2 linked regions of the Stegostoma tigrinum genome follow. The protein of the gene in region 2 interacts with the protein of the main gene of each other region in a pairwise test. Links are inferred from orthologs where the notes say so. Each region holds a gene or a part of one and is shown on either strand. Other genes may lie near its edges.

Evidence for each region. The genes of interacting proteins can lie anywhere in the genome.
Region 1: the proteins of bnip3 (region 2) and apoptosis regulator Bcl-2-like interact in a two-hybrid assay, tested with the Homo sapiens proteins (2 studies listed by BioGRID and IntAct). The link is inferred for Stegostoma tigrinum from reciprocal best matches to the Homo sapiens genes BNIP3 and BCL2.

What each region holds. Positions count from the first base shown.
Region 1 is NC_081355.1:54,574,940-54,585,091, forward strand, and holds the start of apoptosis regulator Bcl-2-like, read left to right. Parts: upstream 1-6,318; 5' UTR 6,319-6,572; coding exon 6,573-7,040; intron 7,041-10,152. UniProt on the Homo sapiens protein: Suppresses apoptosis in a variety of cell systems including factor-dependent lymphohematopoietic and neural cells. Regulates cell death by controlling the mitochondrial membrane permeability. Appears to function in a feedback loop system with caspases.
Region 2 is NC_081373.1:36,994,336-37,004,290, reverse strand, and holds the start of bnip3 (BCL2/adenovirus E1B 19 kDa protein-interacting protein 3), read left to right. Parts: upstream 1-5,628; 5' UTR 5,629-5,785; coding exon 5,786-5,825; intron 5,826-9,955. UniProt on the Homo sapiens protein: Apoptosis-inducing protein that can overcome BCL2 suppression. May play a role in repartitioning calcium between the two major intracellular calcium stores in association with BCL2.

The DNA of each region.
Region 1 (10,152 bases), on a different chromosome or scaffold from region 2:
TTCTTAGACCAGTACATGGAGGAACTAACAAGGGAACAGGCCATCCTAGATTTTGTTTTATCCAGTGAGAAGAGGTTAATTAATAATCTTGTTGTAGTAAGTTTTTTTGGGAAAAGTGATCACAACATGATAAAATACTTCATCGGGATAAAATGTGAAGTAGTACAATATAAAACTGAGGTTCCAAATCTAAAATACGAAGGAAATCTCAAAGGTATATGAATGCATTGGTTTGATAATTTTATTAAAAGACATTACAGTGGTCAGGCAATGGTTAATATTTAAGAAACACCTACACACAATGCAACAGGTACACATCCATTTTGGATGAAAGACATAAAAGGAAAAGTGATGCAACCATAGATAACAAAAGAAATTTCAGGCCAGTATTCAATCCAAAAAGGAATCATATAAAGTTGCTAGAAAAATATATCAAGTCTAAGGACCGGGAGCAGTTTGTAAGTCAACAAAGAAAGACCAAGCGGTTGAAATAAGGATGGGGACTGTGATACACTTGAACAAATTAGTATTCAGAGGAATAAGATATTAGTGTTTTAGCAGGCTTGAAATTGAATAAGTAATGAGGCCCAGATGAAATGGATCCAAGGCTGCTGTGCAAAGCAAGGGAGGGGATCGCAGTGGTTCTGACATTCATTTTCAAATCCTCTCTGGCCACAGGAGATGTGGCAGAAAACTGGAAGGCAGCTAATGTGGTAGCATTATTCAAACAGGGAAGTAAGAAACTATAGCCCAGTGAGTCTAACATTCTGGTAGGTACTGGACAAAAGATCTGAGGGTCAGTACTAATTTCCACATGGACTGGCAAGGATTAATCAAGGAGAGTCAGTGCGGCTTTCTAAGGGGAAGATCATATTTAACAATTTTTATTTAAGTTTATGTGAATGTGACTGCGTATAGATGAGGGTAGTGCAATTTATGTGTCTACATGGATTTCAGGAAGGCTTTTGCCTAGGTCTTACATAGGCTGAGGGACTTGAGGCTGTTTTCGTTAGAGAGAAGAAGGTTAAGAGGCAACTTAATAGAGACATACAAGATGATCAGAGGATTAGATAGGGTGGAAGGTTTTTTTCAAAGGCCTTAAGGCCTTTTTCCTCGTGTGGTGATGGCTAGCACAAGGGGACATAGCTTTAAATTGAGCGGTGATAGATATAGGACAGATGTCAGAGGTAGGTTCTTTTCTCAGAGAGTAGTAAGGGCGTGGAATGCCCTGCCTGGAACAGTAGTAGACTTGCCAACTTTAAGGGCATTTAAATGGTCATTGGATAAACATATGGATGATAATGGAATAGTGTAGGTTAAATGGACTTCAGATTGGTTACATAGGTTGGCGCAAAATCTGGGCCTGTAGTGCACTGTAATGATTTATGTTCTATATGGTAGATTTGTTAAAAAGCTAAGGGCCCATGGGACCCAGAGCAATTCGGCAAAGAAATCCAAAATAGGCTTCATGACAGGAATCAGAGGATCAAAGATTTTTTTTGTGACTGGAACCCTGAGTCCAGTGGTATACCATATGGTTTGGCACTGGGTCCCTTGCTGTTTCTTGTGTACATTATCAGTTAGATGTGAATGTAGCAGGCATGATCAGTAAGTCTGCAGTTGTATAGAAATTGGTGGTGTGGCAAGTCATAAGGAGGAAAGCCTTAGACTTCAGGACAATACAGATGGGCTAAACAGATAGGTTGAATGATGGCAAATAGAATTTATTCTTAAAAAACGAGGTAATGCATTTTGGGAAGATTTACAAGACAACGGCGTACATATTGAATGGCAGCACCCTAGGCAATACAGAGGATTATAGACTGTGGTGTACACATCCATAGATTCCCAAAGCCAGCTGGACAGATAGATAAAATGGTTAAGGCGGCATTTGGTTACTTGCACTTATCAGTCAAGACACTGAATACAAGAGCAAGAAGGTTATGACAGAGCTGTATATAGGATTAGTTAGGCCAAAATTGGAGTACTGTGTGCAGTTCTAGTTACCACACTATATAGGAAAGATATGATTGTGCTGGAGAGGGTGCAAAAGTGATTCACCAGGATGTTGATTGGCTGAAGTGATTCAGGTATGAAGGAAGAGTAGATAGGCAAACGGTGTTTTCATTAGAGCAAAGGTGAAAGCAGAGGATCTGATTGAAGTGTCCATAATTTTGACGGGCACAGACAGGTTAAATAGAGAGAAGGTTTCCTCTCAGTGCAGGGGTCGATAATTCCTTAACATAAGGAGCAGAAGGTTTAGAGGGGACTTTAAGAAAACTATTTCACAAAATTGGTTGTGGATATCTGGAACTCACTGCCTGGAAGGGTGTTAGAGGCAGGAATCTTCAAGACATTTAAGATCTGTTTAGATGAACACTTGAAATGCCTTAGCATACAAGGCTACGGGCCAAATGTTGGGAAATAAGATTAGAAGAGATGGATGTTTGATGACTAGTCTGGATACTATAGGTGAAGGACTTATTTCTTTGTTATGAAAACTCTATGACTCTATGATTCTGGAACAATCTCATTGGGCTAGAAGTTGGCAAATGAATTACCACACTAAATAAAAGGGAATTGAGAATGCAAAATCAAAGTGCAATATACCGGCATGATTGGGAATCAGTTAGAAGACGTAAGAAGGCTTCAGGGTGATTTTAAAAAAACATGATGGGCAATTTCATGGCAGATGCAGAATAATGTTGATAAGTGTGAAATTGTATACTTCAGTAGAAAAAGCAATTGCGTGCCACATTATTTAAATAGTGATATATTGAGAAATATAAGTACAAGGCCAAGGTTGCTGCAACTTTACAGGGCCTTGCTGCATCATGTGCAGTTTCGGATGCCTGACCTGATAAAATATACTTATCATAGCTGGACTGCAATGGAGGTTCATCGGACTGATTCATGCAATGGCAGGTTTCTCCTAGGAGGAAAGACTGGGTCAGCTGAATTCACCGTAGTTTAGAAGGACATGAAATTCCATTGAAGTGTATAAAATTCTGGCAGGCTGAACAGACTTGCTGCAGATATGATGTTCACCCTGACTAGGTGCTCTAGAAAAAGGAATTACAGTCTTAGGAAGCCAGTGAGCCATTTCCTGAATGAGATGAGAAATTTCCTCACTCAGATGATGGTGAATTTGTGGATTTCTTTACCACAGAAGAGTATCAAGGCCAAAACCACTGAATATATTTAAGAAATAAATTGGGAGACACCACAAACTATAGGATCAAAGGGGTGTTGAGATAAAAAGCACTAGGTTATAGCAGCATTGTTTAGTCATAATAATGATTTCATTTTTAAAATGGTCAGCCTGAATTTCCAACACTTCATGAGCCCTTTGGTGCATTTCAGTTAATGGTACTGTTATTTCATCACCTAGAAGATGAGCAGTTTAAAAATTGCTATTAGTTTGCTTTAGTTTTATTAGGTAAAGCATCTGGTCAACCCCACAGTGGGTTTCATGGTGAAACGGGCCATTTAATCAAGAGAGAGGAAAGCAGGTGATGACAATGCCTACTTAAAGGGTTCATCTTGCCAAATGCTGATATTAACCCAGTGGAAGGTGAGGGATTTGTGATCATTGCACAACAAATAAACTCTGGCATGTGCACTTGCCAGTTTAAGCGATCCTCCTCATTCAAAGGCACATTAGGAAGTGAAACACTGGCAGCTGAGAGCTGCCCTTACTGCCAACTCCTCCTCTCCTCTCCTCCTCTTACTCCCCCTTTGAGCCCCTTCTCACCATCACTAACCTGAAACGTGGGATCTTGCCAGGACATTTTTCCCTGGGGTATAAGAGGCTGAGGGATAACCTTATAAAAGTTTATAAAATCATAAGGGGCATAGATAAGATGAAAAGCCAAGGTCTTTTCTCTAGGGTAGGTGAGTCCAAAACTAGATGGCATTGGTTTAAGGTGAGAGGGGAAAGATTTACAAGGGACCTGAGAGGCAACATTTTCACATAGAGGATGGTGAGTATACGAACAAGCTGCCAGAGGAAGTGGTAGAGTTGGGTACAATTACAACATTAAAAAGACATTTGGACAGTAGATGGATAGGAGAGGTTAAGAGGGATATAGGCCAAAAGCAGGCAAATGAGACTTGCTCAGTTGAGGAAACTTGGTGGACAAGTTGGGCCGAACAGCCTGTTTACCTGTTGTATGACTCTGAGATAGAAAAACAAAGAACGGAGATGTAAACAAAGTTGCCAGGAAAGCTCAATAGCTCTGGAAGCATCTGCGAAGGAAAAAAGGAGTTAACATTTCGGGTCCGGTGACCCTTCCTCTGAACACTTCAGAACGGAACAGTCACCGGACCCGAAATGTTAACAATTTTTTTCCTTCACAAATGTTGCCAGACCTGTTGGGCTTTTTCAGCAACTTTGTTTTTGTTCCTGATTTACAGCATCCGCAGTTCTTTCCATTTCAAAGAACATAAATTGCTGGGAACAGTCAGCAGGTCTGGTAGAATCTGTGAATAGAAAGCACAGTTGACTTATAAAATCCCGTGGCCCTACTTCAGAACACCTGGGATAGATCCATGATCATGTTGGCAGGTGGAGAGGCTGGTATTGGCTCAATGGCCTACTCCTGCTCCTAATTTCTGTGTTTCCAATCAAGGGACTACTGACAAGGATAGAAGTCTTTAGGTTCAGATGACAGTCAGAAATACTCAAGTGATGTATATTTTCCGATATAATAATTTGGTAACTACTCCTTGCACCTACCCTCTACATGGCTCATGCAGTAGATCATTGACTGACAATACATTATCGACTTTATCTTGGAGAACTGAACCCTCAGGCTCACATTCTTTCACCTTGATTGCTCTTTCAACCAGACTACTCCATGTTGTGTCACTGTGTTCAGTCCAACCGTTGCTCAATATTAAAGAACAGTATTTATCTGAAATCGGTACACAGCTCGCATGCATAAATTATTGGGGGTGGAGGGACGGAGGTTGCTGACAACCCTTACAATCCACCCGAGGTTTGGATTTCAGATCTGTGCATCGAAAGGACAGCAGCCTGTCACATTACTGGCGAGAAATGATCAGCCTGTAAACCTGTTCATGGGATTGTAGTCCACGTCTTCCTAACCACCCAGCCCTCCCTCCAAAAAAGGAGGGATTTGACGTGTTTGTGGACCAGCTGAAAATGTTTCTCCTTTCTTTCGGATTCAACACAAGAAAGACGTTTTGTTCACTCGCTGAAGGCTGGTTTTTTTTGGCAGACTGGCGCAGTGGAGAGGCCAGGAATGAGACGAGGAGTGAGGCGGGGACACTGAGCAGCCACTGCTCACTTTGGTGCCTCCCACTCGGGCTGTAAGTGATTTTAGTGAATGAACATGCCGTGAGCGGCAAATGGTGACGTACAGGATATTGCGTGTTTTCTGGGGAAGAGAATGAAGTGCAGAGTGTGAAAATGAGACAGAGAGAGATCTGTGCCCCGGGGGCTCTGACTGACTGACTGCAGGAAGAGGCAAAAGGAAGGGTTCGGGGTTTGCAGCGCCCGAGGCCTCCTCTCTCGCTGACTGCAGCCGCTCTGGAGGTGGCTGGGAGCCGCAGGACACACCTTCTCCGCCGGGTTTTCAGGAGTCGGTGGAGGGGGCGGTGAACCGAGCTCTGCACAGGAAAAGAAAACCGCCTGGAGGGAAGAGTGGAGCGGGGTGGGGAAGGGCTGCCGGCTGGGGTCTGGGGAGAAACACTGCTCCCACCCACTATCGACAGGAGCTGCTGGAGCAGTCTTGGATCTGCCGGCTTCGACTGAGGGAAGCGGGCAGCCTTCTCTCACCAGTCCCCCGCACCCACCCACCCACCATCTCCTCCTCAACAGTACGACACCAGCCACCATCACCCAGCCACCGCTTTGGGATTATCGCTCACTCCCTTCACTGACTTGCCAGCAACAGAGGCTGACAGCTGGTCCCGCTCCTCTTTACATCTAATTCTACACGTCAGGTTTCGGAGCTGAAAATCCGGCAGCAGCAGCCGCCGCCACACACATACAAAAACTCCATCATAACGAGGGAGAGAGAGAGAGAGAGAGCGGCAGAACAATTCCTCTTTCCTTCAACGGACGGAGCTGAAAAACCTCTCAAAAACTGCAGTCTGTTGGGGTCAGTTTCGTATTCGTCTCACATCAGAGGAGCAAGCGTTTTGACAGAGGGTGAAAAAGAAAATGTGCGTTTAAATTTACGAGCAATTTGCAGTCGACCAAAACGGAATCCATTACTGCAACGCACGGAAAGTGGAATTAAAAACGGGGGTGTGTGTGTGTGTGTGTGTGTGTGTGGGGGGGGGGGGAAGAGGAGCCGGGAGCAGTTTGAGCGATTTTATGAGGAAGATTTGAAACAAAAAAAGGAACATGTTTGGAGGAACAAAATCAAATTGATTAAGGCTACAGGGACGCAGTGAAGTTGACACCTGAGGCGGAAAAAAGTCCTTTTTTATCAAAGTGGTCCCCCGAAGTGGTTCCAGGGATGTGCTGCTGTTGGCTGTGAGACAAAATTTGAACAATTTCGTTTTTGTTGTAATACCATCTTCTTCCCCGCTCGAACGAGATGCCTTACAGCAGCCGTGAATTGGTTTGCCATTACCTGTATTACCGGCTGTCCCGCCAGGGATTTGTGTGGGAGGAGCCCCTAGACACCGCTGCCGGCTCTCCGACCCCCAGCTCACCGAGCCCCGGCCGGCCCCGGGCGTCCGCCGCCGACAAAGCGCACCGCGTCCTCCGCGAGGTGGGCGACAGCTTCGAGCGCCAGTACCAGCAGGAGTTCGCCGACATAGCGCTGCAGATGCGCTTCGAGCCCGAGAGTGCCCGCGGCCGCTTCGAGGCGGTGGCCGAGGAGCTGTTCCGCGATGGAGTCAACTGGGGCCGGGTCGTGGCTTTCTTCGTGTTCGGTGGCACCCTGTGCGTGGAGAGCGCCAAGAGGAGGGACATGGCATCGCTCATTGATAACATCGCCGCTTGGATGACCGCTTACCTGGACAGCAGCCTCACTGACTGGATCCGCGCCAATGGAGACTGGGTATGTAACCAGTGGCCAGGATACACCTTCACTCACCCTCATCACTTGACTATTCTTGAGATTGTCAGCATCATCCACCCCCTTTACCTGCAAAGGAGAGAGACTGTGTGGGACGGTCTGTTTCCTGCCCACTTGCATCACCTACACACCTTCCCACTCAATAAAATGTTTCCCTCCTATCACCTTTCCTGCCCACTTCCATCGCCCAACATATCTATACAGCCTTCACATTCATCCACTTCTGGCCACCCTTTTCTACGTTGCATCACCAGCCACAGGTGGGTGTTTGTTAATGTTTCCGAAGCCACGTGTTTTTAGTTGAGTTTGAATGCCCGATATACATGCAGCTTCTTCTGCATGGCATACTTGTTAGGTCTTGAACTGTTCCATAGTTATGTATTTCTGTTGGATCTTTAGTCCATATCGTTTCTTCAGTCTGTATTGTGATTGCATTCTGTCCTCAATTTTCTTGTATTCTCGTAGAAACCTGGATAAGCTGTAAAATGACTTGATGCTACCCCAACAAAAAGCTGTACCGTTTACGTTCATAGCTTTTAGAGGTGTATATATTTACTTCGCTAAGCATAAATCATGGCGTACCACTTTGTACCCCAATGGGCAGCTGGCTATTCTATCTGCAAGATATTTTCATCCATGTACTGTGCAAGGCTTGTTATTTCGAGTGATGATCTCATTCATTAGATGTACAAGTTTGGTCTTTGTTTGCATACACAGCAGTCATCATGATGTGATATAACAGACACGCTTGCATTTCAAGAATCTAAGGATTTTGGTTGACCTATAACATAGCGTCTCTTGGATAGTCTGAATAGATTTAGGTGATTACCAATAAGTGTGTAGTTTTGAATAACAGAGCTTCCCAAAATGGGGCTCAGGACCCAAAGTGGTATTGAGAGTTGAAACTTTGGGCTTCCAAGCACCGAGACAACCATGGCTGCTGTGGAGTTCTGACCGAGTTATAACAGCTGTTCTCCATCTCTCATAGACCTCTGCCCCCCTCAAATCCCAAGTCCAATCTCTCATTTCATTGAGGGGTCATTATTATTTTCAAAATTAGAAACGGGGGTCATAGTTGGAAAATGTTTGGAAAGCATAAGAAATGTCAAAGGTTAATTTTTTTGACTGGTAAATATTTAGGGTTGATTGTGTTTCTGGGAGAATATGGCTGTAATGACTTTCCATGTAAGTCAGAGATAGGGTATCTTAACATTTATTTAGTATTTCTCTGAGGAAAAATATTCTTTACGAAGATTGTTCATCCATTAAAAATGTTCAAGACTGTGAAGAAAACATTTGTGTTTAATATTGCTGTTGTAATCAGTTTAATCACTACTTATCTGGCATTATGTCTGGTTCTGGGTATTATTTTAGTCAACAGCATATGTTCTTTTGAGGGATTATGGATTTGCTCTCTTGTATAAATCTTCTTCATCCTACATCTAGACATCTGTTCACAAAATATCTTACATACAAAATATATAAATGTTATGCTGTGATAATGTTATTAAGGATCAGTTCAAGTTGAAATCCTGATGAGTTGTTTTCAGCAGTGAAGTTCTGATGTAATGAATACAGGACTTTAAACTATGATGTCAACAATTAATTGTTTTTAGTGAGATCTTAGATATCTGTATTTGCTTTCTATTTGACAGTTCCAAATGAGAACACTGTTAAAATCACTTCAGATTAATTTGTGCAGCAAAACTACTTTAAAATACCAAGTGCAATTAGTTAAACTTAGGGTGCTTACTACATAAATATGATCAGCCTCCAGATTAAATGAATAATTTTTAGAACTTGTATTTATATAGCATTAATGCTGTCTTTAAGCTATTGAAAAGCACTTTACAGTCATAACAGTGACTACCTTTTTAGATGTGAAAAATATAGGAAAAACATCTTTAATGGTTAAAAGTTACAAAGCTCTAGTTCAGACTATTGATTATAGTGATGACTCTTCATGATTTCTTTACCTTGTAAAATTTAACAAAAATAAATCAAATATAAGCATTCAGTGTACATATCTCATATAAATCAAAACTGCTTTTCATTTTTTTCTTTTTCACAAACAATTAGTCAGTATTCTTACTTTCCATTGTTTTACATTCCTTTTTTTAAATTACTGCTTTACACCAGACAGTTAGGAGATGGAGATTGATCCCATAGTTTTCAGGAGATGAAATATATGCAAGCTGAACCGGATTGATACTTTATTATTTGTTGAATCTATAATTTTGTCTACCGTATGGGATAGGATATCTTCTGTTGCCACTCTCCTCGAAGCCTGCACCATTCAAACCGGTCACAATATTATCATTCCTCAATTCCCATTGAGAAGCTGTTTTAATTCAAGTAGGATCTGTACTTTGAATGCTTACTTTCAAATTATTATTTTTTTTTAAGTTTTACAAGGAAAAGGAATCATAAAGACCCATGAGTATAATCAATAGTCTGAACTAGAGCTTTGTAATTTGTAGCAATTAAAGATGCTTTTCGTATATTTTTCACATTTAAAAGCTCTTCTTTTGCAGTACACAAGCTAGTTACAAATTATGCAACAGTTGTCTGCAGCATTGATTTATTTTTCTCTCTACAAATCTGTTCCCTTCCTAGTTCCTGCTGTATCTGTACATCCTTTGGTGACTACTCTGTTTGAAACATAGAAGGTTTAAGATAAGGTTTTGATTAGGTAGAGAATATCTAATGACTCTGGATCAGTAACTAGAGCTTACAAATGGTTGAAAATCAAAGTTTGATTTCAACAATATTTTTTAAAGAAACTCTACAAGGTAGTTGAAAGTGAAGAATTTATGGGGTTATAGACAACAGGCGGTAATGTAGCAGTAAGCATGAACTGTTTGTCACAGCCAGTACAGAGGCATTATCTTCTCAATCAATGCTGTCAATTGCTGTTTTCAAGATTCTAGCAATGACAGTAGCTTCCTGATTTATGGAACCATGCTATTTCAAGGTGAGAGCTAATGTACCAACTTCTGGTTCGTTATAGTGACTGTGGTTAGCCAAAGTTTGGATAGCAATTATTATGCTTGATCTAAAATTCTGGTGTTTGCAAATATTCCAGTTCCTTATA
Region 2 (9,955 bases):
GTCTCCCCGTGTCACCCCCCCGTGCCCCGCCGTCTCCCCGTGTCACCCCCGCCGTGCCCCGCCGTCTCCCCGTGTCACCCCCCCGTGCCCCGCCGTCTCCCCCCCCCAGTGCCCCGCCGTCTCCCCGTGTCACCCCCCCCGTGCCCCGCCGTCTCCCCGTGTCACCCCCCCCGTGCCCCGCCGTCTCCCCGTGTCACCCCCCCCGTGCCCCGCCGTCTCCCCCCCCCAGTGCCCCGCCGTCTCCCCGTGTCACTCCCCCCGTGCCCCGCCGTCTCCCCGTGTCACCCCCCCGTGCCCCGCCGTCTCCCCGTGTCACCCCCCCGTGCCCCGCCGTCTCCCCGTGTCACCCCCCCCCCGTGCCCCGCCGTCTCCCCGTGTCACCCCCCCCGTGCCCCGCCGTCTCCCCGTGTCACCCCCCCCGTGCCCCGCCGTCTCCCCGTGTCACCCCCCCCCCGTGCCCCGCCGTCTCCCCGTGTCACCCCCCCCGTGCCCCGCCGTCTCCCCGTGTCACCCCCCCCGTGCCCCGCCGTCTCCCCGTGTCACCCCCCCCGTGCCCCGCCGTCTCCCCGTGTCACCCCCCCCGTGCCCCGCCGTCTCCCCGTGTGACCCCCCCGTCTCCCCGTGTGACCCCCCCCGTGCCCCGCCGTCTCCCCGTGTCACCCCCCCCGTGCCCCGCCGTCTCCCCGTGTCACCCCCCCCGTGCCCCGCCGTCTCCCCGTGTCACCCCCCCCGTGCCCCGCCGTCTCCCCCCCCCAGTGCCCCGCCGTCTCCCCGTGTCACTCCCCCCGTGCCCCGCCGTCTCCCCGTGTCACCCCCCCGCGTGCCCCGCCGTCTCCCCGTGTCACCCCCCCCGTGCCCCGCCGTCTCCCCGTGTCACCCCCCCCGTGCCCCGCCGTCACCCCCCCCCAGTGCCCCGCCGTCTCCCCGTGTCACCCCCCCCGTGCCCCGCCGTCTCCCCGTGTCACCCCCCCCGTGCCCCGCCGTCTCCCCGTGTCACCCCCCGTGCCCCGCCGTCTCCCCGTGTCACGCCGCCCAGTGCCCCGCCGTCTCCCCGTGTCACCCCCCGTGCCCCGCCGTCTCCCCGTGTCACCCCCCCCGTGCCCCGCCGTCACCCCCCCCCAGTGCCCCGCCGTCTCCCCGTGTCACCCCCCGTGCCCCGCCGTCTCCCCGTGTCACCCCCCCCGTGCCCCGCCGTCACCCCCCCCCCAGTGCCCCGCCGTCTCCCCGTGTCACCCCCCCCGTGCCCCGCCGTCTCCCCGTGTCACCCCCCGTGCCCCGCCGTCTCCCCGTGTCACGCCGCCCAGTGCCCCGCCGTCTCCCCGTGTCACCCCCCGTGCCCCGCCGTCTCCCCGTGTCACGCCGCCCAGTGCCCCGCCGTCTCCCCGTGTCACCCCCCGTGCCCCGCCGTCTCCCCGTGTCACGCCGCCCAGTGCCCCGCCGTCTCCCCGTGTCACTCCCCCCCACCCCAGTGCCCCGCCGTCTCCCCGTGTCACTCCCCCCCCCCAGTGCCCCGCCGTCTCCCCGTGTCACTCCCCCCCCCAGTGCCCCGCCGTCTCCCCGTGTCACCCCCCCCGTGCCCCGCCGTCTCCCCGTGTCACCCCCCCCGTGCCCCGCCGTCTCCCCCCCCCAGTGCCCCGCCGTCTCCCCGTGTCACTCCCCCCGTGCCCCGCCGTCTCCCCGTGTCACCCCCCCGCGTGCCCCGCCGTCTCCCCGTGTCACCCCCCCCGTGCCCCGCCGTCTCCCCGTGTCACCCCCCCCGTGCCCCGCCGTCTCCCCGTGTCACCCCCCCCGTGCCCCGCCGTCACCCCCCCCCAGTGCCCCGCCGTCTCCCCGTGTCACCCCCCCCGTGCCCCGCCGTCTCCCCGTGTCACCCCCCCCGTGCCCCGCCGTCTCCCCGTGTCACCCCCCGTGCCCCGCCGTCTCCCCGTGTCACGCCGCCCAGTGCCCCGCCGTCTCCCCGTGTCACCCCCCGTGCCCCGCCGTCTCCCCGTGTCACGCCGCCCAGTGCCCCGCCGTCTCCCCGTGTCACTCCCCCCCACCCCAGTGCCCCGCCGTCTCCCCGTGTCACTCCCCCCCCCCAGTGCCCCGCCGTCTCCCCGTGTCACCCCCCCCGTGCCCCGCCGTCTCCCCGTGTCACCCCCCCGTGCCCCGCCGTCGCCCCGTGTCACCCCCCCCCAGTGCCCCGCCGTCTCCCCGTGTCACCCCCCCCGTGCCCCGCCGTCTCCCCGTGTCACCCCCCGTGCCCCGCCGTCTCCCCGTGTCACTCCCCCCCCCCAGTGCCCCGCCGTCTCCCCGTGTCACTCCCCCCCCCCCAGTGCCCCGCCGTCTCCCCGTGTCACCCCCCCCAGTGCCCCGCCGTCACCCCGTGTCACTCCCCCCCCCCCCCAGTGCCCCGCAGTCACCCCGTGTCACTCCCCCCCCCCCAGTGCCCCGCCGTCTCCCCGTGTCACTCCCCCCCCCCCAGTGCCCCGCCGTCTCCCCGTGTCACCCCCCGTGCCCCGCCGTCTCCCCGTGTCACTCCCCCCCCCCAGTGCCCCGCCGTCTCCCCGTGTCACCCCCCCCAGTGCCCCGCCGTCTCCCCGTGTCACTTCCCCCCCCCCCAGTGCCCCGCCGTCTCCCCGTGTCACTTCCCCCCCCCCCAGTGCCCCGCCGTCTCCCCGTGTCACTCCCCCCCCAGTGCCCCGCCGTCTCCCCGTGTCACTCCCCCCCGTGCCCCGCCGTCTCCCCGTGTCACTCCCCCCCGTGCCCCGCCGTCTCCCCGTGTCACCCCCCCCGTGCCCCGCCGTCTCCCCGTGTCACCCCCCCCGTGCCCCGCCGTCTCCCCGTGTCACCCCCCCCGTCTCCCCGTGTGACCCCCCCCGTGCCCCGCCGTCTCCCCGTGTCACCCCCCCGTCTCCCCGTGTGACCCCCCCCGTGCCCCGCCGTCTCCCCGTGTCACCCCACCCCGTGCCTCGCCGTCTCCCCGTGTCACCCCCCCGTGCCCCGCTGTCTCCCCGTGTCACCCCCCCCGTGCCCCGCCGTCTCCCCTTGTCACCCCCCCGTGCCCCGCCGTCTCCCCGTGTCACTCCCCCCGTGCCCCGCCGTCTCCCCGTGTCACCCCCCCGCGTGACCCGCCGTCTCCCCGTGTCACCCCCCCCCGTGCCCCGCCGTCTCCCCGTGTCACCCCCCCCCGTGCCCCGCCGTCTCCCCGTGTCACCCCCCCCGTGCCCCGCCGTCTCCCCGTGTCACCCCCCCCCGTGCCCCGCCGTCTCCCCGTGTCACCCCCCCCGTGCCCCGCCGTCTCCCCGTGTCACCCCCCCCCGTGCCCCGCCGTCTCCCCGTGTCACCCCCCCCGTGCCCCGCCGTCTCCGCGTGTCACCCCCCCCGTGCCCCGCCGTCTCCCCCCCCCAGTGCCCCGCCGTCTCCCCGTGTCACTCCCCCGTGCCCCGCCGTCTCCCCGTGTCACCCCCCCGCGTGCCCCGCCGTCTCCCCGTGTCACCCCCCCCGTGCCCCGCCGTCTCCCCGTGTCACCCCCCCCGTGCCCCGCCGTCTCCCCGTGTCACCCCCCCCGTGCCCCGCCGTCACCCCCCCCAGTGCCCCGCCGTCTCCCCGTGTCACCCCCCCCGTGCCCCGCCGTCTCCCCGTGTCACCCCCCCCGTGCCCCGCCGTCTCCCCGTGTCACCCCCCGTGCCCCGCCGTCTCCCCGTGTCACACCGCCCAGTGCCCCGCCGTCTCCCCGTGTCACCCCCCGTGCCCCGCCGTCTCCCCGTGTCACGCCGCCCAGTGCCCCGCCGTCTCCCCGTGTCACTCCCCCCCCCCCAGTGCCCCGCCGTCTCCCCGTGTCACTCCCCCCCCCCAGTGCCCCGCCGTCTCCCCGTGTCACCCCCCCCAGTGCCCCGCCGTCTCCCCGTGTCACTTCCCCCCCCCCAGTGCCCCGCCGTCTCCCCGTGTCACTCCCCCCCCCCAGTGCCCCGCCGTCTCCCCGTGTCACTCCCCCCAGTGCCCCGCCGTCTCCCCGTGTCACTCCCCCCCCCCCCAGTGCCCCGCCGTCTCCCCGTGTCACTCCCCCCCCCCAGTGCCCCGCCGTCTCCCCGTGTCACTCCCCCCCCCCAGTGCCCCGCCGTCTCCCCGTGTCACTCCCCCCCCCCCCAGTGCCCCGCCGTCTCCCCGTGTCACTCCCCCCAGTGCCCCGCCGTCTCCCCGTGTCACTCCCCCCCCCAGTGCCCCGCCGTCTCCCCGTGTCACTCCCCCCAGTGCCCCGCCGTCTCCCCGTGTCACTCCCCCCAGTGCCCCGCCGTCTCCCCGTGTCACTCCCCCCAGTGCCCCGCCGTCTCCCCGTGTCACTCCCCCCCCCCAGTGCCCCGCCGTCTCCCCGTGTCACTCCCCCCCCCAGTGCCCCGCCGTCTCCCCGTGTCACTCCCCCCAGTGCCCCGCCGTCTCCCCGTGTCACTCCCCCCCCCCAGTGCCCCGCCGTCTCCCCGTGTCACTCCCCCCAGTGCCCCGCCGTCTCCCCGTGTCACTCCCCCCAGTGCCCCGCCGTCTCCCCGTGTCACTCCCCCCCCCCCAGTGCCCCGCCGTCTCCCCGTGTCACTCCCCCCCCCCCAGTGCCCCGCCGTCTCCCCGTGTCACTCCCCCCAGTGCCCCGCCGTCTCCCCGTGTCACTCCCCCGCCCCCCAGTGCCCCGCCGTCTCCCCGTGTCACTCCCCCCCCCCAGTGCCCCGCCGTCTCCCCGTGTCACTCCCCCCCCCCCCCAGTGCCCCGCCGTCTCCCCGTGTCACTCCCCCCCCCCCCCAGTGCCCCGCCGTCTCCCCGTGTCACTCCCCCCCCCCCCAGTGCCCCGCCGTCTCCCCGTGTCACTCCCCCCCCCCCCAGTGCCCCGCCGTCTCCCCGTGTCACTCCCCCCACCCCAGTGCCCCGCCGTCTCCCCGTGTCACTCCCCCCCCCCAGTGCCCCGCCGTCTCCCCGTGTCACTCCCCCCAGTGCCCCGCCGTCTCCCCGTGTCACTCCCCCCAGTGCCCCGCCGTCTCCCCGTGTCACTCCCCCCCCCCCCAGTGCCCCGCCGTCTCCCCGTGTCACTCCCCCCAGTGCCCCGCCGTCTCCCCGTGTCACTCCCCCCCCCCCCAGTGCCCCGCCGTCTCCCCGTGTCACTCCCCCCACCCCAGTGCCCCGCCGTCTCCCCGTGTCACTCCCCCCAGTGCCCCGCCGTCTCCCCGTGTCACTCCCCCCCCCCCAGTGCCCCGCCGTCTCCCCGTGTCACTCCCCCCCCCCAGTGCCCCGCCGTCTCCCCGTGTCACTCCCCCCCCCCCAGTGCCCCGCCGTCTCCCCGTGTCACTCCCCCCCCCCAGTGCCCCGCCGTCTCCCCGTGTCACTCCCCCCCCCCAGTGCCCCGCCGTCTCCCCGTGTCACTCCCCCCCCCCAGTGCCCCGCCGTCTCCCCGTGTCACTCCCCCCCCCCAGTGCCCCGCCGTCTCCCCGTGTCACTCCCCCCAGTGCCCCGCCGTCTCCCCGTGTCACTCCCCCGCCCCCCAGTGCCCCGCCGTCTCCCCGTGTCACTCCCCCCCCCCCCAGTGCCCCGCCGTCTCCCCGTGTCATCCCCCACCAAGCGCTCGCCGGTTCCCCATGTCAAACGCCTCAGTACCTCTCCATCTCCCACCCCTATCTCCGGAAGTGCGCGGCCGAGTTCAGGCAGCTCCTTCCGCTCGGCGCTGATTGGCCGCCGCTGCCCCACGGATCGGGGATCAGTTTGTTTACACCGGAGCCGGAGCTGGGGGGCGGGGGTCTGCAGCTGGAGAGAACTTTCCAGAACCATGAGTGAACGGCACAGCAACCAGGAGGAGAGCCTGCAGGGTAAGTGAGCTCAGGGCTCGTCCGAGCGGCTGGGTGCGGATAGACCAATGTCCTCCGGGTATCGGCCCTCTCCCCGGGGACTTACCCCGACCCTGACCACCGCCGTGGAGAGGCCCAGACTCAGACCCCACTCCGGGGAGGTGGGGGAGGGGAGTTAACCGCTCCTCCTTTGCTGCCTGCCTCTCCGTTCGACAGCGGGTAAGCCTGATGATCGGGGATTAACTGCAGCCTGCCTGATTTGTTGTCCTTGCACCGAATCTCGGTACAACTCCCTTTGTAACCAAAGCAGCTTGTGGATGAGAGCACTGCCGCAGAATATAAACCAAATCCACACAGCACATCCGCTGTTTGTTCACTGAGTATATTCTTTCTGAACCTTTACTGCAAAATTCTCTCACAAATGAATTTTAATTACTTGCTCACTGATAAAACACGCAATGGTATAGGCTGCCTGTTTATTCTGTACGGAGCTGTTATGAATTTTCCCCTTTATTGGGATAGTTCTACTGTCGGTTAATGTAACATCTAAAATGGCAGCTTAACTGTAGAAGAAAACAAGTTCAGCAAAGACCGAAGTATTCCTCTGTTTTCTATGCCAGGTACAATGGGCTAGATTTTCTGTCCACTCCCTGCCCTATTGACTGGGGCAACGCACTGATTCATTGTATTTACCAAAGGATATGAACTCCTGATCTCTGATCTTCCTAGGGCGCTAGGGTCCTCAGTCTCTGACTGACCTGTGGCAGACTGGAGTCAAAATCTTGTTACAAAGGGCTCCTAAAGCCTCCTCACCTTTGAATGATCGACTTGTGCCCAGCAGGTGTGTCTCACATTCTGTTGGATTCATCTACACCGAGTATTATCCTTATTCCCCGCACCCATCGCCCCACTCACTTTTCAAAATGCACGCTCAAGTGACTCCCAGCAGATGATTGCAACTTGCAGAATGTATATGCGCAAACTTCTCATGAGATGTATCAATGGCACATCCCAGACTTCCCATTTTTAAATTATTGTGCAGAGCATGCCAGGCTGAATGAGCAGCACATGGGGTTTGAAATGCACCAAACAGTATGTATCCTTTAGAGTCTCAGCCCACTTAACAATTCGGTCAGGCTTTACATGCACCCCTTCTCCAACCCTCCTTCAACTTTTTGAAATAGCCACCAGCTTCCCATGATGTCCTAAACAAGACTATAAATTTTCACCCTATATCTTTACTGCATGTGTTCTGTGGCTGCTATATCTTGATCTTGCCTGTGACCACATGCCAAGAGGTTATTCTTGCTGTGGATGTACAATCTTGCATAGGTTTTGCTTTTTGCTTGCACCATGCTTCATGTTGGATATCCAAAATATATGCTTATGTGAATACTAAGATTTTTATATCAATGTTGATTTGAAGCAGGCATGCAACTTTCACAGATGGCAACAGAAACAAACTAAAAAGAACAACATTATTTTTGTAGTGTAGTTTGATATTGTTGCTTTTGTAATGTTTAAAGGATGGTTCATACTAACTATAACACTGCTGGAATTAATTACACCAAGGAATAAATTTAGAAAGTTTCTCTTCCATCTTAGAAGCTAACCTGTCAAGAATACCTTTTGGAGATGTTGTCTTCTTTCCCCAAAATTTTTTAATGATCAATTTTAATGCATAGTTGCAGGCTCATTTGATGAGACTCAACATCAACAGCTCATTTTCATAATATTGCCTCTATTCCCAAACACTGCTAAATTGAGTAGATTTCAAAAGAAAGTTGCATGTGGCTTGGCTTCTAAATACTCTAGAAGCAGTGTGCCTCAAGAAAGTTGTTAGCTGTGTATGTCAATATAAAACTTTGCAAATTGATTTGGAGCTAACCATATAAGCGTGGTTTGTAATGATTGGCGTAAGAAGAAACAGTTATGTTTATAAACAAGTACTACTCAGTTGGTTTGACAGTTGATCTGAATATTGAGTTTAATTCCAGTACTGACTCAGCTTACCATGAAGGACTGTTCTTCTCATCCTGTCCCTTTGAGGTGTGGTGACCTTCTTCTTAAAGCACCACCAGCCATCTCTTTCAAATGAAAGAGCAACCCTATTGTCATGTAAAACTATGGTGATGTGACTTACAAGTGTCTACTAACTTTATGTAATGAACTAAATTCCAAAGAAAATCATCTTGCATTTCTCCAATAAGTTGTTTTATTTTTCATTTTGTGCTTTTCCCTCCTAACTATCCCTGTCTATAAGATAGTAGGAAGGGTCTAGGCATGAAACGTCAGTCTTCCTGCTCCTCTGATGCCATTTGGCCTGCTGTGCAGGGATAACACCTTGTTATCCCTGTTTATGATCATATTTATGGCCCCAGACAGCAAGATTAACAATTGGAACAGTATCTTTTTAACCTTGGTGTACTAAACACAAACTAGATCAACAACCCATGCGTATAATTGTTTTGTATAAATAATCAAATAATTATTTGATTGAATAAAATTTGTTTGACATGCCGGGGCAACAAAATATAAAATATAACCGCCCTTTCTAAGGGATGTGCTCTGTTTTGGTGCACATATATAGCAGTCAGTACTATTGAGTATTGCTTGTGTCATTAGTTGTTGCACTTCAGTTTAGATCCATTTGTTTATGTGACATCTAGAGGGGAATGTACATGTGATCGCTCCTGTACTCAGTTCTGGTGCTTCCCTCTAAAACTTCCATAAAATGGGAGTGGTGTTCACACTGGATTTACTGCAGTAGGTCAGACATTCTGACTTTCTTTTCTTCATTCAAGTCCTGGGGATCAAGTCTTGTAGGGATTCTGTGACCTGATCAATGATCTTCTGTGATCCTCTTTCTATCATCTTGCCAATAGATTGATTAGTTCCTTGGCTTTAACAGTGTGCGGATACAAAGGGAGCATCGTATAATGTTCATCTCACATTACTCTAAAGATGTCTTGGCAATGTGCAGAGCTAAAATGATTACCTGTCTGGGCTGAATAGTTGCATGATCTCACTCAGAAAAAGACAATAGTTGGGATGGAGGGTGATGTTCTAACGGTACTTAACATGGAAGGTACATGTATACTGCAATTTAAAGGTAATTTACCATGAGTGTAGGGTATTAAGTCAAGTAAAAATGAGGCAAGCATCTTACTCCTCATCCCCAGAAGCATGCCTTGGGAATTCCAGCAATTTCTGGCAAACAAGAATTGAGAAATATGGCCACACCAGTATGTGTTACTCACAGTATGAAGCTTTGTAACTAGAACAGCAAATTTTAGAAAGTTGTTGCCAATTATTTTTACAAAGACAAAACTAAATTATCATTGGCTTTGCTGATTTGTCTCATTTGATTAGTTCAGAACATCTCTTCACTTATGGTAGCTAAGTTTCGATGGAAACATCTATCCTTTATGAGTTTTTGAAAAGTAAACAACTGTTCGAGTGACATATTTGATGTAACGTGCTGGGTCACCATAAGGAACAAAAATAGTCCCTGTAGTAATTGTGTGTGAAAGGCTCAATTCTATCCAGTGCAGGGAAAAAAGAGCTGATCATAAAGAACACATTATATGCAACTTGAATATACTATTAATACTGACATTAAAATGTTTGGGCAAGTTAATTGAAAAAATTTCGACCTGTAATCTAGAAAATGTGGTGGACTATAAAGAGGAGTGCACTTGATCAAAGCAGTGTGGCAGTTGCTTTATTTTCAGTGAAGGACTTGTGTACATGGAGTTAATGATTACCCTGTAGAGCAGTCTGAAAGGTCTGGACAAGATGCAGTTCACAGGAAGGACGTAATAGCTTCTTCTGCAGGAGGTACTTTTTGTTTCTTGTTAAACCTTTTTTAATAATTGCACAAATGTGTCCTAACCCATATCCCTAAGTTTCCTTAATCCAGATCAGCTCCAGAGATGCAGGTGATAAAATTAGCATTTATGTTACTGTATTGCTTTGGGGACCAGCTGTTATACTTGACCTGACTTTATTTTCCTGCTATCCAGATTTAAAATGCTGAACTTAAATGTACCACAAGGTTGTTTTTTTTAAAATGAAAATTAATGATAAAATATTAGTACTGACCCTGTAAATGAAAAGGGGCTAGATTGGCCTGTGTAGCGAACATGTGG